Arabidopsis thaliana: one gene and its partners. The protein of the gene in region 2 interacts with the protein of the main gene of each other region in a pairwise test. Each region holds a gene or a part of one and is shown on either strand. Other genes may lie near its edges.

Evidence for each region.
Region 1: the proteins of SK42 (region 2) and ZF14 interact in a protein complementation assay, tested with the Arabidopsis thaliana proteins (one large-scale study listed by BioGRID).
Region 3: the proteins of SK42 (region 2) and AT2G04080 interact in a protein complementation assay, tested with the Arabidopsis thaliana proteins (one large-scale study listed by BioGRID).

Annotation. Positions count from the first base shown.
Region 1 is NC_003070.9:21,646,824-21,657,801, reverse strand, and holds ZF14 (MATE efflux family protein), read right to left. Parts: upstream 4,815-10,978; 5' UTR 4,641-4,814; coding exon 4,479-4,640; intron 4,122-4,478; coding exon 2,685-4,121; 3' UTR 2,363-2,684; downstream 1-2,362.
Region 2 is NC_003070.9:21,429,795-21,440,772, forward strand, and holds SK42 (shaggy-like kinase 42), read right to left. Parts: upstream 6,310-10,978; 5' UTR 6,083-6,309; coding exon of another isoform or gene 6,043-6,082; exon of another isoform or gene 5,719-6,042; coding exon of another isoform or gene 5,633-5,718; exon of another isoform or gene 5,576-5,632; 5' UTR 5,459-5,575; intron 5,179-5,458; exon of another isoform or gene 5,175-5,178; 5' UTR 5,084-5,174; coding exon 4,943-5,083; intron 4,815-4,942; coding exon 4,722-4,814; intron 4,637-4,721; coding exon 4,577-4,636; intron 4,503-4,576; coding exon 4,230-4,502; intron 3,859-4,229; coding exon 3,784-3,858; intron 3,214-3,783; coding exon 3,157-3,213; intron 3,078-3,156; coding exon 2,937-3,077; intron 2,846-2,936; coding exon 2,795-2,845; intron 2,613-2,794; coding exon 2,517-2,612; intron 2,050-2,516; coding exon 1,966-2,049; intron 1,852-1,965; coding exon 1,749-1,851; intron 1,653-1,748; coding exon 1,568-1,652; coding exon of another isoform or gene 1,564-1,567; exon of another isoform or gene 1,417-1,563; coding exon 1,344-1,416; 3' UTR 1,257-1,343; downstream 1-1,256. Other genes in the region: AT1G57860 (Translation protein SH3-like family protein), read right to left, coding at 240-497, 797-1,033; AT1G57906 (F-box protein), read left to right, coding at 5,633-5,718, 6,043-6,082, 6,456-7,016; PUP17 (purine permease 17), read right to left, coding at 7,808-8,964, 9,056-9,095; AT1G57980 (Nucleotide-sugar transporter family protein), read right to left, coding at 9,650-10,794, 10,899-10,938. UniProt on the Arabidopsis thaliana protein: May mediate extracellular signals to regulate transcription in differentiating cells.
Region 3 is NC_003071.7:1,355,021-1,365,998, reverse strand, and holds AT2G04080 (MATE efflux family protein), read left to right. Parts: upstream 1-6,595; 5' UTR 6,596-6,839; coding exon 6,840-7,085; intron 7,086-7,173; coding exon 7,174-7,718; intron 7,719-7,812; coding exon 7,813-7,899; intron 7,900-7,979; coding exon 7,980-8,036; intron 8,037-8,112; coding exon 8,113-8,557; coding exon of another isoform or gene 8,558-8,587; exon of another isoform or gene 8,588-8,621; coding exon 8,622-8,672; 3' UTR 8,673-8,843; downstream 8,844-10,978. Other genes in the region: AT2G04090 (MATE efflux family protein), read left to right, coding at 1,309-1,563, 1,639-2,183, 2,262-2,348, 2,561-2,617, 2,691-2,929, 3,008-3,213, 3,302-3,346; AT2G04070 (MATE efflux family protein), read left to right, coding at 10,209-10,454, 10,542-10,978.

The DNA of each region.
Region 1 (10,978 bases), 220 kb from region 2:
AACACATGTAAAACTTGAATTTGACGATAGCTAATTTTTCACGGATGAATAGAGTTTCGATCTCGACATGCTTGGTCCATTGGTGACCTAATGAATTTGAGGAAAAGTAGATGGTATATAAGTTGTCACAATTTACAAACACTATTGTTTTAACGTAAAAGAGGAATGCACGTTCCAAGTGGCGTCAGAATCAACAATTGCAACAATCTTGCATTTAACCTCTTTGTACTCAATCATGATATGATTAGTTGCTGCTTTGAGGAGCAGAAAATGAGATTTATCTCATGGTTGGAATCATGAGAAGATGATGTTGAAAAAGTAAGTAGGTGATAAATTGGATTGTAAAGCTATTATTTTACAATAAAGGGAAATCAAACGCTCATGTCTCGGCCGGGTGAGGGACCCTGCCTATTCTCTTTCTCCTCCAAACTCGAGCTTTACCACACGCGACATTTATAGACTTGACATCTATTAATTCGATTTTTCTTAGAACACAAACTTGTCTACGACTCTCTCTACTCTCTACGTATTATGAACTATATTTATATGTTTGTGATGCTTCATGTGGCTACAATTGAACGTTTGATCCAGACAAAAACAGTAAGAACATGTGATTGATGTACCTACTCCACTTTATTATTGCATACTTGCCATACTTATTCTAAGTATACATGAACATATATCACCTTTCGGATCTAATTCTATGATGTATAAAAATATGTCATATATTAGATATAATAAATGCTCACCTCCTAGGATAGTTTGCAGGGTTACTTTGCAAAATGAGAGAAAACAAAGAGTTATTTAGGGAAATGACAAGTATTTAAATTGTTGCGAACATAAGAGTAGTGTTAAAAAGTACGTAGAAAGAAAATGTAATGCATAATTATATCAAATGACCTTTAAAACACACTCCCTTTGTTTTGAAATAATGTATTTTCTTGAGTTGTCACTCACACATATGAAAAGTTGATTATAAAAGTATCTGTTTTTTTTTGTGATTTACAATTTTCTATAATTCTACTGATAGTATTCAATTAATTTTCTTAAAATTTATAGAGTCATCAATAATAACTAAAAAATATTACATAGAAAATTTAAAAACTCTTATCTTTTTGAAACAATTTATTTTCCTAACAAATATATCATTTAGAAATCCATAATATTTTAGCCAAAATAGCAAAATTCATAAATACCACTAAAAATGGCAAAATACGTAATAATCCTGTTTACTGTTAGTATTATTATTTTCTCATTTTACTATAGTTTTCCATATATAGATATAATTAACTGTGTACAGTACTGAAAAACAACTTCTATCTACAAAATATACTTTTTTTTTACCGTGGTTAATCATCTACGTTTGATATCTTTAAAATTTCGAAATAGCTTCACCAGTAAATTTAGAATGAGTATGATTGACCTCATAGTGTTTACCAATAAAAGACAAAAAAAAAAAAAAAAAAAAAACTATTCACGTGTAAATAATAACAAAAGGTAGATGTCCAAAACTTATAATATAGAATTGTCTTTTCTTTCGTCATAATTCAAAGGCCAATGAAATTCGAACTTTTTATCGATGGCCAATGAAAATCAAAGATATTTCAGCAAGCCAATGGAATTCAGTTTACTAGGCTTTACTTATTTTATTTCTTAAAAATATCTATAGAAAAGGAATATCAAAGGTTGAAAGGTAATTCATATCGTCGACACGTAGACGCATTATCGATTCCACTCAGTTTTATTTCATTTTCTTGTCATATTTGGTTTTATTCTTTGGCCACATCGCTGTGAAGTTCGTATAAATTCATGTTCTGGTCCCAGGACAAAAAAAAGTATACATAAAAGAAAAGATGCTTTCTCTCTGCTCAAAGGAAACAACCAAAATCAAAATAAATGTGATCTCAATTAAATTTTAAAACGTATCGAATCTCAATGGCTTTGAGACAAAGAATATGATAGAATTAAAGGAAATTGTTTTCCATTTTTGGCTACGAATATAATTTCCTTTTATGGAACATGGAACCACCAAAAGCTCAAAAATAAAACATTCATCTTGCCTGTCCTTAAGAAAAGAATTGATTGTTAAATAAGCAAAGCTTTCACAACACAAATACGAATACAAAATAAATTGCAAAAAAATTAACCTATTATGGAACATTTTTACTGTATCCTTAGTTATTCTGATTGTCTTCGGCCATTAGGTTTGATCTACTAGTATGGTCTTTCTCTAGATTTCAATGGCCTAGACACGTCTAGTATCTTGGAATCTTTTTATATATATATATATATATATATATATTAAAGTTGTATTGAGGTTAAATTTTTCATTTTGATTTATACTTAGTTTTTGTGACAAAAATAAAATAAAATAAATTTATTCTTAGTTTAACAAAAAAAATTCACATTCTCCTAGAAAATGGACAAATATATAAAGATAATCAAACCACGAGTTATTACAAAAGGGAACACATAAAATACAAACTGCTGAAGTCAAAGCTAATTAGAACTATCACACCAATACAACCATAAATAACACAAACACCACTAAAGCCCACAAAACAAAGTCGTTCTTAAATCAAAAAGTAGAAATTAAGGAGCACTATAAACTCCAAAAAATGATGACAAGAACATATATGTACGTCAATGTTGATGGCAAATGCCTCCAGAGAATAGCTATCAATCTAAACCAACATGGTTCTCATCATATCTTCTGTACCGGAGGTAGACCGGCTCTTTGAGCTTGCGATGGGGAGAAGGGGCGGAGACTTTCCGGGAGTTTGTGACGTCAGCTCTTCAGCTCTCTCGGCTTGGACTTTCCAATCTGTTCTCAAAAGTGCACACAACATGAGAGAAGCACAAGTTGCTTGAGCTGCAAGCAACCCGAACCAGAGACCTGGAAACCCTTGTTTGAAAACAAACCCAAACAGAATAGCGACTGGCATGCCCACAAAGTAAAATGAACCCAAGTTTATGTTGGCACCAAGTGTAGGTCTTGCACAGCCTCTTAAAACCCCACAACCGGTTGTTTGAGGACAGTTTCCGAGCTCACATAACCCCACAATGGGTAATGCGATGGAAGTCAGCTGAAGAATCTCTGCATCCGTGGTAAACAAGCGTCCCCAATGGTGCCTAACCAGCACAGCAAACACCATCGCCATTAGGCCTAAGGCGATCGCGCAGAAGAGTGAGATGATCATGGATACCCGAGCTTTCGCCGGACGTTTAGCCCCAAGCTCGTTGCTAATTCTTGTAGAGACACCAAGGCTGAGAGAGGATGGGAAGACGTAGACCAAAGCCGTCGTTTGGATCAAGATTCCCATGGAAGCCACGGTGGCTCTTGGGTTAGCCAAAAGTCCACACAAAATGATCATAAACTCGTACCACCACCACTCCAAACAAACAGATACACAAGTGGGTATGGCAAGTGAGAGCAAAGCCGACCAACCTTTAAGAGAGTCAATAGTAATTGGGACCCATGTATCACTATGCACGCTAGTGAAATACACAAAAGAGGATAAGAGGACTACAAGGTTGAGATTTGTCAAAACCATAGCTATAGCGACTCCCGCTACTCCCATCTCAAGTTTCACCACTAGGAGGTAGTTCAAAGGAACGTGGAGGAGAACGGACACGGCCGTGGAGTAAGTCACGGGCAATGTAATGTTTTGTGTTCGGAGGTAAATTCGAAGAGGGTGAAGCAGAGAGAGAAGGAAGAGGTCAGGGATGGCGAATAGAAGGAACTGTTGAGCAACAGAGGAGATCTCTTCATCTTGGCCGCACCATAAGAGGATTCGGCGCATGTTGAGCCACGAGAAGGAGATAGGGACCGAGCAGGAGAGGAGTAGGAGGACGGTTCTTTGAAGGGTTAGTCCTAAAAGCTTCATTTGTTTAGCTCCGTATGCTTGGCCACAGATTGGTTCCATCCCCATGGACAAACCGGAGATGACGGAGTAGCCGGTGATATTGGCAAAGCCTATGGAGAGAGATCCTCCGGCTAACTCAAGCTCACCGAGGTAGCCTAAGAACAGCATCGATATCATCGCTCTTGAGTACATAAGAAGCCCGGTCATCGCCGTCGGCCCAGAGATTTTTCCGATCGCCTTCACTTCCTCTAAGCCCTGCCGCCAGATAATTAAGAAAAGAAAAGTCAAGACCAAGAACCGTCCACGTCAGTAGATCGTTTTTTTCTTTTCCCTGGTTAATGGTTAATTATATTAATCAAATAAAGCTTATCTTAAACCTTTATAAAAAAATGACAAAACCAAATCACCAACCGGGACCAAAGATTTAGGTATATATATAAAAAGGATTGCGAAACTGTTGTTTCTATTTATATATATGTATATGTATATATGCTTTTGGTATAGTTCGTACAATCTAGTTTTGTCAAGAACTAGATTCTTGAATTATTATGTTCATATCTATGTAGAAAAAAACAAACATTTACGTATAGGAAAAAAAAAGAAATAATTTACCTCCAGAAAACTTGGCCATCTTTTAAGGTCTAGAGAATCAGTATCCCTGAATTCAGAATAATGAGGATTATCTGTATCACAGGTTTCGAGTTTTGAGATATGGGTTTTGTCTTTACAAGATAATAAGGAAGATGAAGCAGAAGATGGTTTTGAATTACACATGATTCTTAAGAGGAGTAAACTGGTTTTGTTGGGAGTAGAGATAAAAGGACAAAGAGACAAAGTCTAGAGCTTTTAGTCTTTTGGAGGCAAAACGATTTTATGCAAATGATAAAAGGAACCGAGAGGAACTAATATTTTTAATATGGAATTGGTTGGGCCTTTTGGAGGAGAAAGGCTGACTATTTATAGTTGTAAAGAAGCGATATCGTTTCTACACGTGGCGAAAATTAGTTTTAATTTCTTTTTAACAAAGAATTGATTTTCTAATAGGGAAGTGGGACTTTTTTTGTTTGCTTTGACTAAACAAATCGTGTGTCCACCAAATAAGTCTGTGAGAAGAACGACACACAGGTTTAGGATAGCTCAAGAGTTCACTTTTGAAGAAAGACATAAAAATTGGTTTAGTTAACTATTTTAAAATACATCGCATTACCTTTAATAATAGCAAATCTCTTTCCTAATCTTTAACTCAACTTTGGGCTTCACTATATATTGAACTCTTTCGGTTATGTCGGCTGGCGAATTCACAGTCGTCCTAAGTGCTAGAATATCAGGCTGTTGTTACCTCTTAGGCTGAGAGGATAAAAAGCATTTATTCAATAACGGTTGGTCACATAAGTTGATGGGGTTAGTACTTGTTTTGAAAAATACTTGGGTGAACTTTTTTATTCTAGCCAATCAAAATCTACCACCTAATAAATAATATTAAATTAATTTAATTAGAAAATATAATTTGCCATAAAAAAATTATATATCAGTTATAAGAAAAAGTTAAGATTTCAATTTTATGATTGATGAGATTGAATATCGGTTTGAGTTTATAAACAGATTTAAATTTTACAATTAAACAAGTTTAAATATTGATTTAGGTTTATAAAAGATAATAAAGGTTTTAAATTTTCTAATTAAACGAGATTATATATCGGTTTGGATTTATATAATAGTAGTTAGGATTTAGATTTATAATTAAATGAATTTTACATTTTTATGGCATTTATAGATATTGTATGCTATTTGACTCAAATTTTACGGATTTACAATTTTTATACACTTAACAATGTATATACATTTATGATTTGTTTTTGCTAAAACACATACTCCATAGCAAATATTAAAAACAAACAAAACCAACTAAGGTCGGTCCTATTAATATGCCAATTTTGCCTCTCTCTTTTTTTTTTTCCTTCTTTTTTCTTTTTTTTTCTTTTTTTTTGATAAAAAATGAAATTTTATATCATTTGTGATTTGTGACACAATTACAAATTTTATGCCATTTTGTTTTTCTTTAATTCCGCTGAAACATTTAGAAACAGAGGTCGGTCCTATTTTATAACTCCGAAAATTTTAAGGTTAGGTGTAATGATGTCAAACAGGAAACTGCACTAGATTAGTCTATATACTTTCTGTGAAGATAATCCTTTCTTTTTTTGCACTAACGGTTAATTTAAGTTTTCCTAGTCAATCAAGATAAAATTTAAGTTTTTCCTATGTCTAAAATATCAAATTATGCTGTAAAATGGCATGAGATTTAATTTAGCATTTTCTTCCAATTTCAAATTGCATGTCTATTGCAACTTTAGCATATATAATTTTAACATTTAGGTTTAATGAATATATGTAATGTAATGTAATGTTAAACACTATTATGCAGAAAATGGCTTGAAAGCATGTTCATTGCCACCATACCATGAAACCTAAAAACTATTTAAAATAAATAAATCTTTATAAAAGTAAATGTAAAATATTAATAGTAACTTATTTATTATATATAACTTATTAATGTTAAAATAGCTTGTTTTCTATCAAATGATTACAATTAATTAAAACGTTGTATCAATATTTTACCACAACATGCAATTTCATTTGTTGTATATGTTTTTGGCATATGATCATTTTCTATAAAATTTGGCGTGAAAAGGATCAAAACCGTTATCGGTAGATCAGCATTTCTATTGACCAAATTTCTCACGTGTATGCAAAAATATATCAAGTAGACTAAAGGTCTTATCGCAAATTAACCAATTCTAAATACTTTTCTTGTACAACGTAACTATAAATACTTTGTACAATTGTATGACGAGTTATTTATGGCTTAATATCTATATGGTAACATGTGTTGGGAGTCTGATGGTGAGGGAACGACATGTGGAGAAGAAGAGAAATTAAGGCAACGGAGAACAACTAGTTGACCTGCACATTTTGTGATTCATATACATAATACATGATCTGAAGCTATAATTTGGTTTTGGAGGGGGCAAAGTTTTTCCGGAGTTAATTTGGTTTTAAGAATATAACCTTTGTCTAGTAAATGAGGATCGTATAGTATTTGTACTAACTTGAATTTGAAAAATAGTTGTGCGTGTTGAGATGATCAAAATTATTAATTTGATTTTTCATGTATCACCAAAGTGTAATTAACTTTTTCGTGACTCATTTTGAAAAACCTACACATTAAGTGTGTCTAAGTTAGAGATATCTAAAGAAAATGACCTATTATAAATGATTATTAATATCATGAGATGTAAAAACACGTATTTTTACGTTTGTGGTGAAATATATGACCAATAACAAGTTTCTTAGAGGTTTCAAAAGTTTGACATCGGTGGTCAGACGTGGATGAAGCCTACGGGCTAGGAGTGAACAGAAAGGTCCACAAATAATTGTAGTCGGATCTTTCCAAGTGATATCATAACCAAACTTAGATGAGCGTCAAGCATTGTATGCTCACATCGTTTGAGGGTAATAGTAACATTTTTTTGCAATATGCAATACGTTTTATGAGTGAAGTGATTGTAAGACTTTTTTAAAATTGACGTTTGCATGTGGATGTCTAAACAATTGGTATTTTTTTTGATCGCAATTTTTTTTTTCATAACCTGTTCCTTTGTTAATTGTGTCTAAACTGTAGTATTATAGGATGGATGAACTATGATTTTCAGTACAACGTAAGTGAAAAAACACACACGGTGAAGTATCTCTTGGTGCTTTGAGGGACAAGTAAAGAAAATTTTCAGGTTTCATTGGCTGCCAGACGAGAATGAAAATTACTCGGTGACCTATATTGGACATTATGAACTAAGAATGAGATGATCAGAAGATTTTGAAGAAGAGAAGAAGGGAAACCAACAAGTGTACTTTTGGAGAAACGAGACTTATGATCTGCATTGATTTGTAAATTGACTTCTTGAATAATATTTAGTCCCTCTGTTAGTCTTGGATAAGTATGTTTGATAGGAATATTTTCCCTAGATCTAGGACTCATGTCCTTAGATATGTCGTTGGATTGACCCTCCATGCCACACCGGTTTGGTTGTTGGTATTAAATGAGAAGTTTGTGACATGGTCGGAATTTTTTCCGTTTTTGCATGTTGCGCTAATGTATATCCACATTGAATATGGTACTGACTAGGAATGTCTGGAAAAGATCTTGACAACATCTTCACGTCTACACACTTATTGAACTATGCATGTTTGGATTATCCATGGTATTTTTCTAGTCGGACTAACGACGTTTAGTTATTAATTCATGGAAAATTGCATGGTTCTTATGTGGAGACTTAAAAACATGTCATAAGAGCATGATCAACATTCAAACATTATATAATTAATGTGCATATCCAACTCTTTTGAAATGGACATTTACTCTATAAGACAGTTCACAAATGTTTTTAAAATGATCCGTGTCAATCAACATATAGTTTTGTTATATATATATTTTTAATTAAACTATTTTTTATTAGTACTTAATTCATATGCTGCTGATTACTTCTAGTAAATTGCATAACTTAGAATTACTTTGATTCAAACTCACCTAATGTTGGACTTCTTCTTAGGTTTATGCAAAGATAGATGCATCATTTTTTAAAAGACTCATTTTAAAATGGTAGATCTTTTTGGAAATATGAAAGATCCTTCTTTCAGTGTGACTAAGTAGTTCCAATTAGGGAAAGAGACAAAGGGCGTTATAGTAAAATGCTTGGAGAAGTGGTGGCTGTCTCGTGTTTCAAGGCAAAAACACTGCCATTTTTTGTTAAGTAGTGAGCAACAAAATCCATGTGAACAAAATCAACTCTCTTCTTGTCTGCACAAATATTCAAGTGTCAAGCATAACCCATAACAACCAGAGGACATGCTTCTCTCATTTTGTTTATCTTTCTGGTCCCATTGATTTGATATTTTTTCTCTTTCGCAATCGAAGATAAGAGTTATCTTGAAGATAGCAAGGTGACTGTAAAAGACAATGCAACGAGAAAATTGTGTTATTATCTTCGTGTGAGGCAAAATCCTTATCCAAGTTGGCTTCGGTTCTGAGGAACTCGTTCCATATTATTGGAAGTGACATACACCAGAAAGATTGGAAGTGACATAGTTGTTTGATATGAAGATGCTATGTTTTTTTATGTCTATTAAACCTAAGTAGGTTAGAACTAATTTAAATGACGCAACTAATTTTCTGTCTAGCATTTGAAATGTTCAACCTATAAGACATAAGAAGTTCGAGATTTTATATTGTCATTTAAATGATGGCTAGTCACAAAAAGAATTTTTTTATCTTCCACAAACTTTCAGGAGGTAACTTGTAGAATCTTACGATGACAAAAACAATATTAAGAAACAAAATCTTGGGTGTTGCTTGACTATTTGGACCCGTAGTCTATTGTTCAAATGTCCTTTGTGCATTGATATAATTCTAAATAAATGTCATGCATGTGGGTCACTTAGTTTTCATATGTTTATAAGTTCTAGATATCATTATATAGATTTTGACAAAACATATCTATAATAGTTGGATTAGGAACAGACGACGAGATCTACAATAGCACGTTAATGACAACAACATCTTCAATAGTTAACAAAAAGACAACATTTTTATTAGAAAACGAAAAAGAAGAATAAACTAAGTACTAGGTTAATTGTTTTCTATACATAGAGAAATTCTTAATGGTAGTGGTTAATTATATTGTCATTTGGGGTCCATTATTTGGATTCGACTAGATTCTAATATCTCTCATCATTACTAAGGTTCTAGATATAAGATTTGTGGAGCATTTTACGAAAATAATTTTTTTTTTATGAAAAATGAGCCATGCATTATTTACTTAGTTAGTTGTACGCGTAGCCCCAAGTTACATGTTGGGCGGCTATTAAATCTTACGTTCTGAAAGTATTGGTAGAGAAAAATGAAGTAGGAGTAGCATAGTGATAACATATTTGGGGATATGGGGTCAACTTGCTCTCTGCTCAGATTTTATATCATGAACCATGTGTAAGTAGGTTCACCGACCAGGCTTCTATAACACGTCATTAGTGTATGCAAGTGAGTAAGTTGGTGCAGTGAGAAATTCATGTTTTATTTTCTTGAGAGATGTATCATGTATGTATTCACAAGCCTTGTCATCATATGTCGACTCTTAACTATTATACAAAATCATGCATGTTTTTGGGAAAAAAAATCAAAGACGTGAAACCGATTATGTGTCAAAAATGGTAATACAATACATACATAATTGAGAGGAACACAAAAGACTAGCAAAAAGGTTATCTTTAAAAAATTTACATATGGACAGACTTTTATGAAGATTTAGTCTCATCCAAAATCTTCTACTATCTCTTTTCTTTTATCGTTTCTTCAGTTGGATATCGATATTTTTGTTATATATTATTTCTTGCTTTCTCTCTGTCTATTGTATCCTATGTGATTTCCATCTGTTTCTATGAATTTACACCGTAATTGGCTAATTCTCAAAAATTCCTGAAAATGAAATTAAACCTTGTTCTATTCAGTATTCACTAACATAACTTCGAACATTTCTAAATCGTTGTAAGATATTTACTTTCTTACTATACGTTTCAATCCTCGTCATCTCACTTTTTATGAGTCGGTATGCTTAAGAAATAAACGTAAGTAGCATAAAAATATAACGTATTAAATCGTCTTTAGTTTCTAACTTTGTATAATAGGTTAATAACCATATATTTATGTATGATATTTTAAGGTATAATAACTCTCTCCTTTTCCTAAAATTTTCGAGTATTAAAGATAAAGTATGATTAATTGAATGCTTCTAAAACTCTAGAATGTAACGTAAGAGTGACCAGCGAGTGGTATTTCTTAGCTTTTGTAGTCTCAGCAGAACTCCATAATAGCAGAATACGTTGCAGACATGCAGGTCATTCTTCTGCTTCAGTGTGGAAATTTTGATGGTTCTCTTTGTCTTTTTTTTTTATTTAATTTTTTTTCTTTTACTTGAACGTGAGAAAAAAAATACATCATTATTTCAAAGTCATCTAGATGCGAAAGACTACTCGCCAACTAGAATATTAAACCAGCTTGGATA
Region 2 (10,978 bases):
AATTGCTAACACTGAAAAAGATTAGGTGTCTCAACTTTTCCCAAGGTATCATTTTTCTGAAGAATGCAGAAACGATTTTTAAATACAAATGCAATAGGTAAATGATTGGGATAAACCATCTTTCCTAACAAAATCTGAACTCATATCGTATATAAATCAGTCTTGTTTGATACAAAAACATAATTAAAAAAGCAAGTGCAAAAATTCTGAGTAGAGAATGATAATAAAATGGAAACAACTCAATAACCACCCTTGAGATCGTTGACAACATCGTAAGGAATGGGAGTGACAGTCTCCAATGTCATACCTTCAACCATGAAACCCGGTTTAGGACCTTTAGGCTGTCTCTTGGTGCTGATAGTCTCACCTCTGGCTTTAGCATCAGCCTTAAGCACATCGTTCTGTTTCTTTCTGAGTTTAAACTCCTCAGCACACCTTGACTGTTGCACATGCTCCACACGCACATGTATCCTCTTCCTTATGATTCTGTTCCCAATCTAAAACCCAACCCAACACACCAACTTAGCTCTCCAACAGATTACACTAATCATAAACACAAGAAATGAAAAGAGAAGCTTTCACAACATCAAAACATATAATAATAGTAAACGAACGACCCAATAAGAAAAGCTTGAAACTTTCGAGCCAACACTAATCCAACATCTCAGAATTCAAAACAGATAGCTCACAGAAAGACGAATTAAACCCCAAATGAAAGAATCAAAATCAATTTCAAACCCTAATTTCAACAACAAAAAACTCTTTCAAACAGATTAAAAGTTTTGAGTAATCAAACCTGTTTGTTGACTTCAACACCAACGGCACGTTTAGTGACATTCCAGATGCGACCAGTACGACCATGGTAGAACTTATGAGGCATACCCTTGTGGATAGCTCCATTAACCTTGACATCGACGTAATCGCCGACCTTGAAGGTTCTGAGGTAAGTGGAGAGTGGAATATAACCCTTCTTCCTGAATGGTCTCGCGAACAGATCTCTTGTTCTCGCCCTCACTCCGTGTCCCGCCGGCATTTTTCCTCCTCTCTCACTTCTGTCTCTGACGAAACCCTAAAAATGGGAGAGAGAGGTGAAACTAGTTTAAAAGGCTTTTTGTGTACATGGTCTTATTGGGCCTTCAATATTTAAGCCTTATTTTGTAAAACAAATGCCTTATTTGAAATTAACTCGAAGATAAATTGGTTTGGTGTAATTCGAGTAATATGGTTCAAATCAAGTTCGTAAACATGGACAAATAAACTAAACTGTCAATTCATTTTAAGGTTCACAAATTTTTTGGAAAATTGTGTTGTGGCAGGAGTCTTGCAAATGTAAGTATGTTCCTCTATATCATATATCTAACAAAGTAGTGTTGTATTTTACGCATCCTCACTTCACGACAAGGGATGCGCAAGCACCTTAATACAAAAGTCATTGCTTCTTTTTCCAGTGATTTCTGTTTACAGAGAGAGAGCTCTACTGGTTTTTCCCAAAGACTGGGATCTAGAGAGCTTAGAGAAAAGAAGAGAACACCCGATAGGTCGTACAGAAAACACGGAAGAGACTTACGAGTGTAATGCCATGAAGTGGTTCTGCTTACGGGCATGTTCTGGGACAAGTCGGTCCACAGTTTCAGGAGGGATACCAGAGAGTTCTGTAGGACACACGCTTATCAATAACACATACTAATTTTCTTCCCTTATAAAGAATTTAACACGGAAAAAAGAAGAAGCAAATAACAGAACCTTACCTTGTGGTTTAAAATTGAATAGCGGAGGAAGTGGCCGGCCGTTTGGCAGACGAGCATTTGGGTCTCTTAGCTCATCAAAGAAAGGGTGGATACAAGCTTCCACCTATCAGAAAATCATAAGACATACTTATAATGGGTTAGCTTCTGATGCTGATCCCAAAAAAAATATGGAAGTAGAATATGTAACAAAGTCAGAGAAAAGCTATGAATAATTTACCGCTGTACATCTCAAATTAGGAGAATACTGGAAGAACCTACAAAGAAGATCTACTGCTTCAGGTGGCAGACGTTTCTGGAATACCTGAAAGTAACAAACACATGATTCTTGTGCTGTAAGAACATGACTATATAGAAGTAAAACCAAGGAAATGATCACTTAAGAGAAATTTTAGCACGGAGCAAAACAAAAGATAAGAATAACGAGTAACAGAGTTCTGGAATGTCAGCTGTATAAAATGCTGAATAAAACTTCATCTAGATAGAAACTTAAACCAGCAAAAAAGCCAAGATCATGAAGCCTAACTGTTTTCAACCCCCACGAGTGTGTGCATGAGTAATTCCTTTTGGCAAAGGTTCAATTTATTTGTTTGTATAAGAATCTTATATACAAAGGCAAAGCTGTCACATCGCTCTATATGCCAGAGGAATGAAATATGAAGTTAATTGATCACATATACTTCAATCAACCTCACTAAACCGAGACAAGCTTGGTCATATATCGATTAAGAGAACCCTATTAGGTGATAATTGATACTACTAGCGGTATACCTTGTGCCAAGGATGAGGTTTTATCTGAGGAAATTTAAATTCTGTGTAGTTTGGATTCATGCATTTGATCTCCTCCCTTGTTGGTGTACCCAAAACCTGCATGACAATTAAAAAACCATGAAGAGAGAATGTACGAGTCCTACTACAAAAATGGTGGTAAAGTTTTATAAAAAAAATATAATCAGCAGTGAGAAACTATTAGTCAGTGCCAGCTCTAAAGATGTCATTTTCTTTGTAAATACAACTAACCCTAAAAGAATTGATAGCAAAAATACTACCTTTATGATTTCAACAAGTTGATCGACTCCACTTTCGCCAGGAAACAGAGGCTGTAAAACAAGTCCGCGAGAGCAAAAATGAGTAAGAGGGTGAAGAAATAGAATAACAAGCATATAGCTAATGCAAATATAGTGCTCCAACCTGTCCAAGCAGCAGTTCAGCCATCACACAACCTGTGGACCATATGTCTATTGCAGTTGTGTACTCGGTGGCTCCAAAAATGAGCTCTGGGGCACGATAGTATCTTGAACAAATGTAAGAAATATTGGGTTCTCCTTTCACCTGTGGACCATGACACGTCATAATCTAAGCATGGACTAGGAAAACTAAACCACTAAGAGCTATAGCTGATAAACTTTACCAACACTTTTGCACTCCCAAAATCACAAATTTTCAGCTGATGTGTGTGTGGATTCACCTGCACATCACAATAGGTGTAAAGAAAAAAATAAAAGATTGTTTAATAAAAACAAGGCAACATTTGTTTATGACAAATTCTAGTCAATTGCAGGTATGGTGAGCCTAACAGCTGAAACAGTATGGAACAAGTTCAATCCTTGTGAAATCACAAGAAAATAGGATTCTAAATATTTAAACCAACGAACAGACCAGCTAAAAACCAAAACTATTTTCCGAAAAGTTAGATTTTAACATCCTACTTGAACAAATAGCAAGTGAAATTAACTACAGAACAGAAGCCCAGTACCACTCTGAGGTTGAAATAAACATTAGCGAGATGCATACATAACCTCATTGCTTAATCCCACCAGGCATGTAATAACGAAATATCATCATGTCATTACTATATAATGATCAAATTTGTAGAATTAAAGAACACTGTCTGATATTTATGTACACAAATGCCTTTAAAATCCTTATGTGTGGTGACAAAGACCTTGCTATATAAAAAAAATTCAAACAAAAGTAGCTTACAGGAAAGTGAAATCTATCATCAACTTCTTTTCAGTGAGAAAAAATTGGAACTTACTAGCAGGTTTTGGGGCTTTATATCACGGTGACAAAGACCACAGCAATTATGAAGGTAAGCAAGCCCCCTGCAAATCTGTAGCCATTAACATAAAATCCTCAAAAATCATTGGAGAATGTCCAACAAATTATCAGGCCCGATTCACACTTAAGTGTTCAACAAACGTTTGAGCACTACTTCTTTTATATAGAGACAATCAATTATGTTCAATAGTTCCAACTTCTAACGGAAAAGTACAATAGTATCAGAAATGATAGGAACTTTGCCTTCTGGTTTACAATCTATCTAGCAAAACAAGAGGAAATCTCCAACATCCATTATGGAATGAACCACAAGAAACCAGCTGACACATATCAAGAAACTGAATATAGCTTAAATTTTGAGTGATTACTTATGACGCTTACATAAAGAGAAACAAAAAAAGATCAGAAACAGGAAATAATCACCTGGTAAGTGTAGAGTTTGACATATATCAATGGCATCAGCTGGTTCATTCTACTGTAGCTTCTGGCAGTACGATTGACAGTCTCGGGAACAAACTCAAGGACAAGATTTAGATAAACCTCTTCATTTTCTGTTCTTGAATAGAAGCTATGCTTTAAACAAACAACATTCGGATGGTCTAGCATCTGCATAATTTGTAATTCTCTGTTCTTGTAACGCTTGTCTTGTAGAACTTTTTTGATGGCAACAACCTCCCCAGTTTCTCTGCATTTAGCCTACCACAAGGAGACATAAAATGTTTGGGAATCTTAACCAATGGTAAAACAACAAGATAGACAATCTTACTCACTTGGAAAACCATTCCGAATGAACCAGTCCCGACTACGTGTTCTGCTATGTAACTGACTGTCTGTCAATCAAAATTAAAAACAGTTGTATAAGAATCAGTACGTCTCACTAACAATCTAGACACACAGTTTCTATGACCATCTAACCTGTCTTGATTGACCATTTCGTCCAGGGAGTGTAGTTGTGATCACATGGCCAGGTTCTGCACCAACTCCATCAATGATATCTGGTTCACTGTCCTGCAACATGGCAAAAACATCAAATTCAAGTAAACTACTTCATCAAATAGAGGGGCGCATGAGAAGGAAGATAAGCTAAAGAAGTTCACAAAGAAATAAAGACCTAAGAAAGGAGATGCAAAACTTACTCTCTCCTCATCAGCCTCTGTCTTGTCCCTTATCTTCATCTCAAGCATATCTCTGCTCAACCAATCAACTGAACTAGAAGTGTTCTTTGTATTTTTGGCAGATCTCGAACTGCCTACTCCATTTCCCAGATGAGATTCCATGGTGGTGGTTGTTCGGAAGATAACACGTACTAGTAATTGATAACACCATAAACCTTAGCAATTTGGTGTCCCATCCCATCAAAACACCAATCTTCCTAGTAGAATATTAAAATCGTTTTCATAAAGCAAAAACAGTATAAGCAATTACCAGAGTATATACCCACAGAATTTAGATCGTTGGAACATGCTAACAGAATACCAAAGTCACTGGTTTTTCCAAATATATTCAAAACAAAATATCTTAACACTTAAAGCAGATTTAAGAGAAAAGAGAAACATGCAAACTCACTTTCAGAAGTGACATAAAGTTAGCAAATCGACCATCCTATCACCTTCTCAGAATATATTCTACAAACCAAACATAACGCATAATACCTATATATTCATAGAACCACCGAGCACATTCTTATAGCTTGAACATCCACAAGCACTATGAGATAGAAATAACTGAGTGGTGTGGTCTCTAGCTGCTTATGTTCCCTTGATCAATCACTACAAAGAAGAAATATGGTGAATTGAAATGAAAGAGGAAACATATTAGCAGAAAATATGAACCATTTCTATGTGAACAATGAAATTAACAAGAGAATAATTGAGAAAACAAAAGAATCAAATCAGCTACCTAATTTTCTGAGGTCACAATAATTTCTTCCGAAGTTAATTATGATCAGATAGAAACACAGAAAAGTCAACAACTTGGTATTAAAATTTCATTGAAACTTTGAAATAGTGGGTGATAACACAACACTGATACTACTACAGAAGACTAGAATTGAAACCCAGAAGAAATTACGACAAAACCAGATCTAAATTCCACTAAAAGGGACAAAGCTTGTCCTTAAACTCAGTTTCTACAATTACAAAAAAAACCAGAAAAATCAGTAAAGCAGTTGTTACTGCAAGAACCTTAACTTCCTCCAAAATTACACAATTCAACCAATTCGAAGCGCTATCTTCAGGCTTGAAGCCGAAGATGATCGATTTACCTTGAACGGAAAAGTAAAAATCACGCATTTGATGATCTTCTTCTTTTTCTTCAATTTATACAAAATCGAGCTCAATTTTTCTGACGAGCGATCACCAATGGAGAGAAACTGATCAGTAGAGATTTTCTCTGTGGTTTTCTTTTGTAGATTTCTTACTCTTTTGAATCAGGAGAGTTTTTCAGAGATTTTCATTTTCTTTTGTAACATCTACTTTATTTAAATTCGTAAAAGGGAAATACAAACAATTAATTAACCAACCAATCAGAGATTTATAAAAGAATTAAAATATATATTTATTTTAAAATAAAATAAAAAAATTAATTGATAAGCTAAACCAAATCACATCTATTGTTAAACCGAAATGGTCCATTGCTTTTGGGTTTAAGAAAGTTGTTCTTGCGGGAGGAGATCGAGTTTTTGGAATAGGGTTTGATGGGAAGATTAGGTTTTGGAATGGAGAGATTTGGACTAGAATCAAAGATCAGATTGGTGAATTCTCTGATATTATTGTTCTCAAAGAGCTAATTTACGTGTTGGATACGAAAGGCATTGTTTGGTGGATTAGTATCGTTAGGTATGGAACTTCACTTACTAATGAATGTGGTGGAGACTTAAGCTTGGTTGCATGTTGTGGAGAGCTTTATATTGTTGATCGTCTTTTTAAAGAGAATGTCTTGAAAAGAAAAGCTGATTACTTGGACTTGGATGATAATGTTTATGTTGGTGTAGCTCCTCGGATTTCTAATGTGATACATGACGATTTTGGGAATGAAAAATGCAATGTGGACCAAGAGGTGGAAATAGAATGTCCCAAAATGGTTGGTTTCAATGTTTATAAGGTTGATGAGGAATTAGGGAAGTGGGTTGAAGTTAAGTCCTTGAGAGATAGTGCGGTTGTGATGGCGACTGATACTTGTTTCTCGGTTATGGCTCATGAGTACTATTGATGCGTACCGAATTCTATATACTTTGTCCATGAAAAGGAAGTAGAGGTTAAGGTGTTTAAGCTAGACGATGGTAGTACTTTGATGATGTTTGGTTCTGAGCAGAGTTGTTTCCAAATGTTTGTTCCTAGGTTTCTCTGAATCTTGTTTAGGCTAGAGCTACTTTCTTTATATTAAGGATATTGGAGGAGTGACAAGAAATGTGATAACATTATCTCTATCTCATACCATACTTTACCATTTCCGTTAAGCTCTATCGAAAACCTTTCTTCTCCAGCTAGTAATATGAAGAGTGCCACTTCTGTAACCGAAATGTGCATGGCCTATTGGTATATTTCTGGCTTTCATCGACGTAATAAACCACTTGCAGAGGAATGATCACCCATGGAAGATATACAAAACAAATAAGCATATAAAAGACTTCTTCTCATCAGCCTCTGGATTTGAGTTGCTTGGGGAAGACGTTTACGTTGCATTCTATATAGGAAAGGTACGAGCCTAAAGGCATAAGAGCTTGGTGCAGCTTATATCATCAAGTGGGATGTGGCTTTATTGGTGTCTCGATGCCCCATAGATGTTAACAATCAAGTCTACTTGAGAAATATATAGGGATTCACTCCTCTAGCAAAGTATTGTAACAAATAAATGCAAAACAGAGAAAAGAAAAAAATCAAACTAAACCAACTAATAAATAAATTACATAGTTTGATCCATATCTATACAACATATTTTGGACATTGACTTACAAGAATCAGAATAACAAGAACAGATTGACAAACACTTGACATGAGAAACTAAACTTCAACATTGTTCTCACTTTGGTTAAGTTCCGCCATCTTCTTCTTGTTTCTCTTGTGCAGAGTGTAGAAGTAAGATCCTAACGCCAAAACTGTTCCTATCAAAGCACCAATTCTAGGCCAACTAAACACATCATCCATAAAATCAAATGCCAAGACAACAAACAAAGCCACAAATGGTGAAGCACACATATGAACAACATCACCAAAAAGACCCGAAACATAATGCACCAAACCTATCATCCCGACCGCCCAAACCTGCCACGACAAAGCCAACCCGACCAAACTCAGAACGTAATACGTTTCCCCTTTCTTAAACCTCTTGCTATCGCCTTTCAGTTCCTTATACTCGTCACTCGCAAACAAGCCCACGAGACAAACAACCGAGGCGACAAAAGCGACACATATTTGCATCTCTAAGACCATTCTAAACACTTTCTCGTTACCATATCTCTTGGTCTTCACTTGGAGTTTCTCGAACCCGAGTTGGATTAAGCAAAGAGATAATGAGAAAGCAATTGTAGCAGAGAAAGCTAACCAAGCTTGGATGTTGTATCCGAATTCTTCGCCGTCATGAGGCTGTCCTCCAAAGTCAGGAGTACCGAGAACGTAAATCACAATAGTGAGTAATATCGATATGATGATCCATCTAGTAAACTTGAAACGGTTAATGATGGCTGTTAAAACAGCGGTAAATATCAACTGTGTTGTGGAAATCAATGAGAAGATGCCATAGTTTGAGACTAATTTCCCGAGTGCGAACAATTTGCTGTGAGCAGCAACAAGAACACCAAGAGATAAGTAAAGGAAGAAGAGACGCAAGGAGAGGAAACTAGTATTGTTGGTTTCAAGGTGTTGTTTTGGTTTAGGGAAAATGAAAAAGAGAGGGATGAGAATAGGAAACGCAGCGTTTTGGATCAGAGCTTGCGTCCATGTTCCTTTATATTGTAGATCTTGGTCATACTCTTCTCGACGGTCTTGCTTCATTTGGACATAGAAGAAGTTCAAGAGAAGCATGACGAGAGAATCTCCGAGTAAGACTAAGAAAAGACATAAAGAAACAGAGATCCACCATTTTCTTTGTTTTAGCTCCAACGATCTTCTTGGACTCAAGATTTGGTCTGGTTCTGGATTCTGAACGTGTTCTGATTCTTCTGGTTGTTAAAGAAAATATTTAGTTTTTATTTTGTTTTCGAGTACAGAAACAATATTATAAAACTTATGATAAGAATTTGAAATAATTACCATGTCTTGTTGTCTGTTTGGAAGCTTTGGACATCTCCATTAGTTTTCTCTGGTACCTCTGAAGTCTGAACACCCTTAAATATGCAGATTTCATTCTCTGTGGAATGACTAGTTCTATCTTGCAATTAGAAAAGATCTTTCCACTATACCGTACGAAATCTTTTTGACAGATCAGAGTTGGTACTAGTCAAAACCCGGAAAGGTATTACTGTATATATTATACACCGCTACACAAGGTTAATTACTTAATTTAAACGTACATTAAAACCTCTATAAATTAATAATGTTGGAACATGATATTTTATTAATTTATAGAAACTTTTGTTTTAATTGTTAACAAAATATAAGTTAAACAATTTGATCAAAATAAAATTAATATTTTGGAGGTTATAAATTTTATAGTTTCAGACTTAAAACATTTAAAATTACAAATAAATGCAAAACAGAGAAAAAAAAATCAAACTAAAACAATCAACAAATAAATTACACAGTTGATCCATATCTATACAACATATTTTGGACATTGACTTACAAGAATCAGAAAAAGAAACAAGAACAGATTGAGAAACACAAATATACAGTTGACATGAGAGACTAAACTTCTACATTGTTCTCACTTTGGTTAAATTCCACCATCTTCTTCTTGTTTCTTTTGTGCAGAGTGTAGAAGTAAGATCCTAAAGCCAATACTGATCCTATCAAAGCACCAATTCTAGGCCAACTAAAATCATCATCGATAAAATCAAATGCCAACACAACAATAAAAGCCATAAGTGGTGAAGCACACATATGAACAATATTACTAAAAACACTCGAAACATAAAGCACCAAACCTATCAGCCCGACCGCCCAAACCTGCCACGACAAAGCCAACCCGACCAAACTCAGAACGTAATACGTTTCTCCTTTCTTAAACCTCTCGCTATCGCCTTTCAGCTCCTTATACTCACCACTCGCAAACAAACCAACTAGACAAACAACCGAGGCGACAGAAGAGACACATATTTGCATCTCTAAGACCATTCTAAACACTTTCTTGTTACCATATCTCTTTGTCTTCACCAACAGTTTCTCGAAACTAAGTTGGACTAAACAGAGAGATAATGCGAAAGCAACTGAAGCAGCGAAAGTTAACCAAGCTTGGATGCCGTAGAAATGTTCATTTTCATCAGGCTCTCCTGAAAATACAGGACCACCAAAAGCATAGCTCACAAGAATGAGAACTATCGATATGATGATCCATCTAGTAAACTTGAAACGGTTAATGATAGCTGTGAAAATCAAGGTAAAGATCAACTGGGACCCTGAAATCAGCATGAAGAAGCCATAGCTTGAGTATAACTTCCCAAGTGCATACAATTTGCTGTGAGCAGCAACAAGAACACCAAGGGAGAAGTAAAGCAAGATGAGACGAATGGAGAGGAAGCGAGTATTGATGGTTTCAGGGTTTGGTTTTGGTGAAGGGAAAATGAAGAAGAGAGGGATGAGGATTGGAAAAGCAGCGTTTTGGATCAGAGCTTGCATCCATGTTCCTTTGTATTGTAGATCTTGGTTATTATCTTCTCGACGGTCTTGAACATAGAAGAAGTTCAAGAGAAGTATGACAAGAGAATCTCCAAGCAGGACTAAGAAAAGACATATTAGAACAGAGATCCACCATTTCTTTTGATTTAGCTGCAACAGTTGTCTTTGGCTCAAGACTTGGTCTGGTTCAGGATTCTGAACATGTTCTGATTCTTCTGTTGGTTAAAGAAAATTTGGAATTCTCAGTTTTTATTTTTTATTTTTAAGAAGACAATAAGAATAGAAACAATTTTTACAGAAGTTAAGACAGTGAAGTTACCATGTGTTGTTGTATGTTTGGAAGCTTCGGTCATCTCCATGAGTTTTCTCTGGTGGATCTCTAAAGATTTAGATATGTAA
Region 3 (10,978 bases), on a different chromosome or scaffold from region 2:
ATATTGGTTTTTCAGAAAAATATAGTAAATTTTTTATTAAAACTAAAGAAAAGTGTTTGAATATTTTATTTAACCGCCATATTATGTAGATAACAATGATACATTGATACCATATCGAGTTGGTGGATGTAACTTTGTTTTGCCTATGCAAATAATTTTGATACCAAGGTAGCCTAAACTGTCAATAAATCATATAACTTCTACAACATGTTAGCATGATTGTCAATGTTGTTATTATGATGCTAATTATGTTAGCATATAGATTAATACATGATCACAATGTTATCTCTCTGCACACTGCGATCGATTTTTAATATGGATTTATCCAGTACAAATTCGACAATAGTTGTTATTTCGCAAATAGATGAATTATTGAAGAAACATGAGATTATGTTGCATTAAACATATATGATTTTTTGTGCAAAAGCTTTGTTTCTATTCAATCACTCAAAACTATTACAAGACTTAGGAGAATACACATTCTCAGTGTTTGAAACGACAAAGTTAAAAGCAGTAAACGAAAAAGTACGATAATCCAACGATAGATCCATAATTACTTTCATACAAGAGTTGTAGAACACAATGTCACATGCCAGAAAATGGTAAGTCGGAGACAGTACCACGAAAGATCTGAGAAGTGGTAGATTGGTCATAGTCCATTAACATAATGACGTTGAAAATGACTTTGTAGCCTCGAGTCTCGCAGACACAAGACACTCTTCACAATACGATAGCAAGGCAATTAGGAAAATCAAGCGATTTCTCGGCTTAAAAACCGGAAACCAAATACGGACACTCGTTATAAAAGTTCTCTCCATAAAGGAGGAAAGTGAGATAAATGTTCTCTCTATAAAAAAGGAGACTGAGATATATGTTCTCTTCATAAAGGAGGTGGAACCAAAGTTTTCTTTGGGAAGTTTGCACACCGTGGACCCTCAAAATCATGCAAGATTACACGGTGACAATATTGAAATTGTCGACCCTCGCACGGTCTTCTGAAATAAGCATGTGACATATGGCTTGCTTCAGAGTGTAAACGGTGAAGATGATATATAGTAGAAACAACAGAGGCCGGAAAATGCGGGTCGACGAAATTTATTTTTATATTACACTTATTTTATGATTTTATATTTTAATGATAAATATCATATTATATCAAATCATGATTACATGATACTTTGGACTTATATGAATACATAAGTATATAAGAAAGAATGTGACAGCATAGATTATTGATTGTATATTTGTATAGTATAGTAAGATCGTTAAATGTTTCCTCTCTGAAGTCGTGCGTTTACAAGGAATTTAATGGAAGATCCACTTTTATTGGGAGATGATCAGTTAATCACTAGAAACCTCAAGTCAACGCCGACATGGTGGATGAATTTTACGGCGGAGCTGAAGAACGTCAGCTCTATGGCGGCGCCTATGGCCACCGTGACAGTGTCTCAATATCTATTGCCCGTGATCTCGGTCATGGTCGCCGGCCACTGCGGTGAACTCCAGCTGTCTGGTGTCACTCTTGCCACTGCTTTCGCAAACGTCTCCGGCTTCGGCATCATGGTAATTAGTTTATCCTCTGTTTAAACCACGTTCAAGATCCAAGCGAAACTTAACAAGTCTTGGAAATTTTTGCAGTATGGTTTAGTGGGTGCACTTGAAACTCTATGTGGCCAAGCTTATGGAGCAAAACAATACACTAAAATCGGAACTTACACTTTCTCTGCAATAGTCTCAAACGTACCTATAGTTGTTCTCATATCGATTCTCTGGTTTTACATGGACAAACTCTTTGTTTCACTTGGACAAGATCCTGACATCTCCAAGGTAGCTGGTTCTTACGCGGTTTGTCTTATACCGGCATTGTTAGCTCAAGCAGTGCAACAACCTTTGACTCGGTTTCTCCAGACTCAGGGTTTGGTTCTTCCTCTTCTCTACTGTGCCATAACCACCCTTTTATTCCATATACCAGTTTGTTTGATTCTGGTTTACGCGTTTGGTCTTGGAAGCAATGGAGCCGCCTTGGCTATTGGTTTGTCTTACTGGTTTAATGTCTTGATTCTTGCTTTATATGTGAGATTTTCAAGCGCTTGCGAGAAGACTCGCGGCTTTGTATCCGATGATTTCGTGTTGAGTGTCAAGCAGTTTTTTCAGTATGGGATACCATCAGCAGCAATGACAACGTAAAAACATTCATCTTCTTCATCGTTGGTGCATTCTTTTCTTTCTTGGCTTGATTTGTTTTTTGTTTCTATATGCAGCATAGAATGGTCGTTGTTTGAGCTCCTTATCTTATCTTCAGGACTCCTCCCAAACCCGAAACTCGAGACCTCTGTTCTTTCCATTTGGTAATCTATCTTTCTCTCTGGATCTTTGTCTCCCTTTTTACATATATGTCTAGTATATATCAGGAGGGATTGTCTTAAATATATAGGTCTAGACGTCTAGTGAGTAAATATTGGTTAATTAAATTAGATATAGTTTATCGAATTCATATAGACAGAATTGTTACGCTTTACTGATGCAATATTTTTGGTTGTTGTTGTTTTTTTAATAATAGTCTTACAACATCATCTCTCCACTGTGTCATTCCAATGGGTATCGGGGCTGCTGGAAGGTATGATTCCGATAAAACCGACTAAATATTTGTTTGGGAATTTTCAGACTAGTCACAATGTTTACTTTGGCAGCACACGGATTTCAAACGAATTGGGAGCGGGAAATCCGGAGGTTGCTAGGCTGGCAGTGTTTGCCGGTATTTTCCTTTGGTTCCTAGAGGCTACCATTTGTAGCACACTTCTGTTCACTTGCAAAAATATTTTTGGCTACGCGTTCAGCAATAGCAAAGAAGTTGTGGACTATGTCACGGAGCTATCTTCGCTGCTTTGTCTTTCATTTATGGTCGATGGATTTTCTTCAGTGCTTGATGGTATTAAGATCAAACCCTTCAATTAGTGAATGATAAAAAATCCTATCTCGCGACTCAAATATGACTTTTATGAAAAAGGGGTTGCTAGGGGAAGTGGGTGGCAAAATATTGGAGCTTGGGCAAATGTGGTGGCTTACTATCTCCTAGGAGCTCCTGTTGGATTTTTCTTAGGATTTTGGGGTCATATGAACGGCAAAGGGCTATGGATTGGTGTGATCGTTGGGTCCACTGCTCAAGGGATCATACTAGCTATAGTCACTGCTTGCCTGAGTTGGGAGGAGCAGGTCAATAGCAATCTTAAATATATTTTTGGACATTTGATGAATCTTTTTTTTACCCCATACTGAAGTTGTTTACAATTGGAAATTGCAGGCTGCCAAGGCCAGAGAAAGAATAGTTGGAAGAACATTGGAGTGAAAATCACACACTTTTAAACGTAACTGATATAGTTGTACTCCTTCCGTTTAGTATACACGAAATATAGAAGAATACATGGTCACACATGCCAAATATACACGAATAAATGTAAGTTTAAGGTTTTCACACACGTATTAAAAAACAAATAAATTTATTAGCTTAAACTTTGTCAATATATTTTCTATAAAGTTATTGATCAATACATTAAATCCGTGGGATAAAGCTGTAATGTATCAAACAATTGCATTGAAAATATAAAACAATATATATTTTAAAATAAATTTTTTTTTTAAAAATGACACTTAATCTTGTATGCGTTTTATCTTTCTAATGATTAAATATCTATGTATAAGTTTAACATCAAGTAAAAATTTGAGTGACTAATTTATGTTTGATTGGATTTTCCACAGTTTATCTTATAAACTGAACTCTCATATGGCTAAGATATTTTACTTTCTTTCATTTAACAGTTACGGGGCGATTGAATGTTCTTTTAACAAGGTCTGATTTGAACGGACATTAGTTTTGTTTATACAACAATGTGTTTCTCTATATACAGAATATAACTTATATATAGTAAATTGTTTATGTTGATCCCAGTAAAAAAAGATAAAAAGAGAAGAGATGGTGCTACTGAGGAACCAAGAAAGAACTGGAAGTCAACAATCAACTCATACTCATGTGTCTCTCCTTTTTAATGAGAGTGACTAACCAACGATTTAAAATAAATAAAAAGAGTGGTTCAAATGTAAATAATTCAAACTACTAAGACTTGGTGGAATTCATGTGAAGGAGACAAAAGTTCAATCTCATGGAGAAACAGAATTCCATTGAAGAAGAAAAAATGTGAATAACCCTAACTTTTAGAATGCTGACCTAATTAATGCACTTAATCAGCTTCGTAAACAGTTTCTACTTGTGAATTCTTGCCAACTTTTCGAGAACACCAGGATATATAGTTGAGAATAATGCTAGCAAATCGTCTAAAAGTTTCTAGAGTACATATCTAGATTCGTCTTAATAATGCTAAATATTTATCTTCAACAACATTGTTTTCATTTTTCAATACAATAAAGTTGAATTAAAATCATTTTTTTAATCTACTAAGACTGTAATTTAACAATATTTTTAAACATATTGTACTGGTTTAGAGGCGATTTATCTTGTTGGAAAAGAAGTTTGGAAGATTCTGTCTTGAGTTCCATTTCATTAAAACAAAGTCATCACATTTCTGGTATGTGAGACGAAGCTATGGTCCATGATTAACCCTCTATGATAGATTATGATAGATGTAGGGGAGTGATTTAGCACCACTCAGTTAACTCGACTCTAACCTCAATAAACAAAACCTTCGAAATGTTTTGTCGGGCTCGGCACATTTAGCGTGAAAATGAGTTTTTTTTGTGTGAAAATAGATAGATCGAGATTGACTTAACATAAAATGGAAAGATTGACTCGAAAATACTTTCAATATCATCAATATTGAGGAGGAGAAAAGAAAAAAATACCGAAGATAAAAATTTTGGAAGGAAAACATATTCGAAGACCTAGATGGAGAAGTATAAATACAAATGAGCAGTCGCAAAGTGGGGCATCCACAATTCGTCTCTAAAGATCCCTAGACATCCAAATTCACAAGAAAAAAAAAACTAACTTGTTATCAAAGTTAGTTCAATCTCTTTGTAATTGTATCAGTTCGTTCTTGAGCTTAATAAATAAAATTATTTCCGCGACACTACTTCCCTTAATTAAGCTTGCCGGTTTATATGTGCAGATTTGACTCACACAATAGACATTAGACAATATAGTATGTTTTTGAAATATATTTTTTGAGGTTATTTCATGATAAGTAATACTGCAAAATATAAATTTTTCAAACATAAATTTATACATTGAACCTCATATCTATTTGTTTCTATTATTTAATTTATTTTAATGACAATGTGTTCTATACTATATTTAAATTTTAGTAAATAATTTTCTTAAATTATATAATTTTTCAATACTTTCTTAATAAACTTCTAGATGTGAAATAGTTTTATAAAAAAAAAAATACATATTCTGGTTATATTTTTTCATATAGAAAAGAAATGGTGTGATTCATATTTTTTCAAGTTTTCTAAGAAATCAAATAATGAGTAAGTCAACAAATAAAATCTCATATAGTGGCTAAGAACTTGAAGTCATTTAGTGAGAAGGAAACCAATAAAAAAATTTACCTATAAATTAAAGGGCAATTAAATGTAAGAACAGTTTAAATAATTAAAAATTATTAACTAAAGTAATGAATCTATTAATTAATTGAAAATAAATATATGTGAAAGAATATTTGTACAAAAAAGCAAATAAAATATCTAGTAGATATATTTCTGAAATAAGTATTTAGAAATTTAATTTTTTGTTTTACTTGATTTTTCAAAATTTTATACCAAAATACAATTTATTTTAATCTTATAATTTTATTTCTAATCAAGGTGTTCCAATTTCATTTCGCTAAATGTTATAGAACCGATCCCAATACGAACGCGAACCTCACTTATCAGCTCTCAATCTCTCAACTCGAAGTTTGTTTGTGTGAATCAAAGAAGAAACAGAGAACAACACACAAGAATTTGTTACCCAGTTCAATCTAATCTGTGTGATTAGATCTACGTCTGGAGCCAGATAGATCCGGCAATCCACTATATGAGATGTTTACAAACTTCTCTGAGCTCAATACAAGATCAATGAAGAACCCTAATTTTCTGGGTTTAAGAGAGATCGTAACAACTTTCTAACGGAATGAAGAAGAAGAAGATAACAGACTTCTATTTATATGTGTTTGACTTCGAGCATCGAAGCCTCTTTCAGAATGAGAGTCTTCCAATCATAACTTCCTTCTTCTGTAAACCAAAGCGAACCGTTTCAATAACCAACTCCAATCTGCTGTTAAACCGAATGTCATCAGACCAACATTAAACCGGAATTGGATCATATTCATAACATTATATCAAACAAGGAAAAAAAAACTATTCACTATTGTCGGCAATAATTAACTTTTTGAAAAATCGAAACAACAAGGCCACCACGTCTACAAAAATCAGAAACCAATTCATGCACATGATATATGTGTTTAATAAATATAATTTATATGGACCCTCTTAATAATATAATTTATATGGAGCATTTATTATTATGGGTACATCATATCATATCTGTTTTTACCTTAATAAATAGAATAACATTTTTTTCTGTGACACACATTGAAGAGAGAAAACTATTTGTCCCACAGTCAATTACGGGTCTAAAATTTGGTAGTAACAATAATACTTTCATATGCATATCTTAACATGAGAAAAAAATGTTTTCACTGGTCGAGCAGAGTTATATATATATTTAGATATTGACGAAAAGTCTTCATTGACAATAAATTACATTGGTTTCGTCCATCAGTACAAGATTGGATATGATCTAAAAAATCAGAGGCAAATCAATCAAGATTAAGAAGACGACAATGGAAGAGCCATTTCTTCCGAGAGACGAGCAGTTAGTCTCTTGTAAATCCACATGGCAAAGTGGTCAGGTCACCGTCGAGCTGAAGAAAGTGAGCCGCTTGGCCGCTCCTATGGCCACCGTAACCATAGCTCAGTACTTATTGCCTGTCATCTCAGTCATGGTCGCCGGCCACATCGGCGAGTTGGAGCTCGCCGGTGTCGCGCTTGCCACGTCTTTCACAAACGTTTCCGGCTTCAGCATAATGGTAATTATGCTATTACTCTCTCCTCTTCATTTCAAGAACTCAATTAACTTTCCAATATTGAAATATTGCTGCATTCTTTTTTGTGTAGTTTGGGTTAGTTGGTGCATTGGAAACTCTTTGTGGCCAAGCCTATGGAGCAGAACAATACGAAAAAATCGGAACCTATACATACTCTGCAATGGCTTCCAACATACCAATTTGTTTCATCATATCAATTCTATGGATTTACATCGAAAAGCTCTTGATCACTCTCGGGCAAGAGCCTGACATCTCTAGAGTCGCTGGCTCCTACTCATTGTGGCTCGTACCGGCTTTGTTTGCCCATGCTATTTTCTTACCACTGACTCGGTTTCTGCTAGCACAAGGGTTGGTTATTTCCCTGCTATACTCTGCCATGACCACCCTTTTGTTCCATATTGCGGTTTGCTGGACTTTGGTTTTCGCGCTTGGTCTTGGAAGCAATGGAGCTGCTATTGCTATTAGTTTGTCTTTCTGGTTTTACGCTGTGATACTCTCATGTCATGTGAGATTTTTCAGCTCTTGCGAGAAGACTCGCGGATTTGTATCAAATGATTTTATGTCTAGTATCAAGCAGTACTTCCAGTACGGAGTCCCATCCGCTGGATTGATTTGGTAAGTAAACCATTTTCACGTGTCTTGTTGGTTAAGTTACAATACACCGATGCTTCCTCTTATCTTGCTTGCATTTTTTTGTCTTCTTTGATAGCTTAGAATGGTGGCTGTTTGAGCTACTCATACTCTGCTCAGGTCTTCTCCCAAACCCAAAACTCGAGACATCTGTTCTTTCGATTTGGTAAGTATCATATTACTTCTTTTTATCCTATGTGTTCTCTTTACCAAAATGTATTAATCTTATGTCTTTCATGTTATCAGTCTTACAATAGGAACTTTACACTATGTGATTCCATCTGGAGTCGCGGCGGCTGTGAGGTATGATCTCAACTCTCAAACCAGAACAAGTGTTCAACAATTCCTTTCTCAACATTAGTCATTTGGTTTCTTGAAGCACACGAGTGTCAAACAAATTGGGAGCTGGAAATCCTCAAGTTGCTAGGGTTTCCGTATTGGCAGGGCTTTGTCTCTGGCTTGTAGAGTCAGCTTTCTTTAGCACACTTCTCTTCACCTGCCGAAACATCATAGGCTACACATTCAGCAACAGCAAAGAAGTTGTTGACTATGTTGCTGACATATCTCCTTTGCTCTGTCTCTCCTTCATCCTCGACGGATTAACGGCAGTTCTAAATGGAGTGGCTAGGGGATGTGGGTGGCAACACATTGGAGCTTTGATCAACGTGGTGGCTTATTATCTTGTAGGAGCTCCTGTTGGAGTTTACTTAGCTTTCAGTCGTGAGTGGAATGGAAAAGGACTCTGGTGCGGTGTTATGGTTGGATCCGCGGTGCAAGCCACTTTACTGGCTATCGTCACAGCCTCCATGAACTGGAAGGAACAGGTTAGAGTTTGTTACATTCTAGTTTTTTGAATGCTCTGAAGTAACTGGACTCTATTATTTGCAGGCTGAGAAAGCAAGGAAGAGAATAATCTCTACTGAAAATGGATTGGTTTAAATAAAGGTTGTTCCTAAGAGCTATCTCAAAGTATTTGCAAGTCATGTGCAAAAAAACATGTAATGTTATTTTGATGGGTTATAATATTTTTTTGTAAAACTTTTATCCAGGATTTATACATTTTTTCTTGAGTTGATATTTTCGTTAGTTAGAAAAATTATTCGAATTGCACATGCTGAAAGATGATTTATTTATTTTCTTCAAACTTTAATATACAAATGTAACAAGTAAATAAAAACTCATTAGTTCCAAACACCATGGGATTAAAAATGGCCTCAGCTGCAATCAGTCCTATCTTTATAAAAAACAACTATGTGAGTCCTATCCATTATCCCAATAAGTCCACTAAAAATGGCCTGTATGGCACAACCAGATTTAACACTTAGTATTAACTTTAAAATTCACAAAAGAAAATAATCTCTCTTATATATGGTCCAAACATAATAACTTTACACTAATGATCCATAAGAGTTTTCACATACATGTTTCTTGACGTAAATCATTAAAAATATATAGATGAAAAATACTTATAGAAGATTCAAATTCCACATAGTCCACTAATGTTATGTCATTTAATTAGTAGGTTTAGTGGTGAAAACTTAATACGAATTCCTACCTTTTTATCAGCCTCAGCTGCACGTTTGAACTGTCTAGTTGTTATTTAAACCAAAAAAATGTTTTTGTTAATTAAGACATTTTTCCTTTTTAATATAAACTGTTAAAACAAACTGTCTCTTTTTTTTTTGTAACAATGTCATTATCTTTTGTTTAATCTATGATATGATTAGAACTTGATTCCCAAGTAATTATTCGAGTTGCCTTTGTTGTTTAGTCATAGATCATTGGAACGTGATCCCCAAGTGTATTATCATGTATTTCCAAAATGCTGATATTGGACGACTGTTGAGTGTTGACGACGACGTCCACCATTTGTATTTCAAAATGACCGAATTGTCTCTTTTGTTTGTCTTTGTTATTAGGTTATTGTGATATCTGACTTTTATGGAAGTAATAAAAAGTTTAATATACATGACTTTTATAACAGTTTTATAAAACTGTTATAACTTGTGAAGTTGTTAGAAGATTTTGTCATTTGCAAAAAACATGATGTATGTTCCTTTAACAATAAAAAACATGATGTATGTTCACCTTAAAAAAAACTATTGTTTTCCGGAAACTTATTAAGAGAAACTATACAACGTCATTGCTGAAAACTTTGATGTATAAACTTTAGTAATACTTTATACTTTATCATGTAGACTTTTATAATATACTTTTTGAGGATCTTCGTGGAAAATATAGAATTCCACTGGTCGAGCTAAGAGTCATGTAATTTGAATATTCTATTCCCACAATTTCCAAAAAAGAAAAGTCTACGTTGACATTGACATTGGTTTCGTCGTCTGTCTAGTGTCTATAAAAGATGGAAGAATGTCCGCATAAATTATAGACAATTAAAGTACTAGACAAGGCTTTCAACACAAAACAATAACAAACAAAAAATAAGGACAAAAAAAAAATTAACAACCTAAAACAATGGAAGAGCCATTTCTTCCGCAAGATGAGCAGATAGTCCCCTGTAAAGCCACATGGAAAAGTGGTCAGCTCAATGTCGAGCTGAAGAAAGTGAGCCGCTTGGCTGTTCCTATGGCCACCGTGACCATTGCACAGTACTTATTGCCAGTCATCTCAGTCATGGTCGCTGGCCACAACGGCGAGCTCCAGCTCTCCGGTGTCGCTCTTGCTACCTCCTTCACAAATGTCTCCGGTTTCAGCATTATGGTAATTATGTTATGACTACTCTCTCCTCTTATGTTCAAAATCAAGTTGACTCTGAAATCTTGATAAATACTTCAATTCTTTGTGCAGTTTGGGTTAGTGGGTTCACTAGAAACTCTTTCTGGCCAAGCTTATGGAGCCAAACAATACGAAAAAATGGGAACCTATACATACTCCGCAATTTCCTCTAACATCCCTATATGTGTCCTCATATCAATTCTCTGGATATACATGGAAAAACTCTTGATCTCTCTCGGACAAGACCCTGACATCTCCAGAGTCGCTGGCTCCTACGCCTTGCGGCTCATACCGACTTTGTTTGCCCATGCGATTGTCTTACCACTGACCCGGTTTCTGCTAGCACAAGGGTTGGTTCTTCCACTGCTTTACTTTGCCCTGACCACCCTTTTGTTCCACATTGCGGTTTGCTGGACTTTGGTTTCCGCACTTGGTTTGGGAAGCAATGGAGCTGCCTTGGCTATTAGTGTGTCTTTCTGGTTTTTCGCTATGACACTCTCATGTTATGT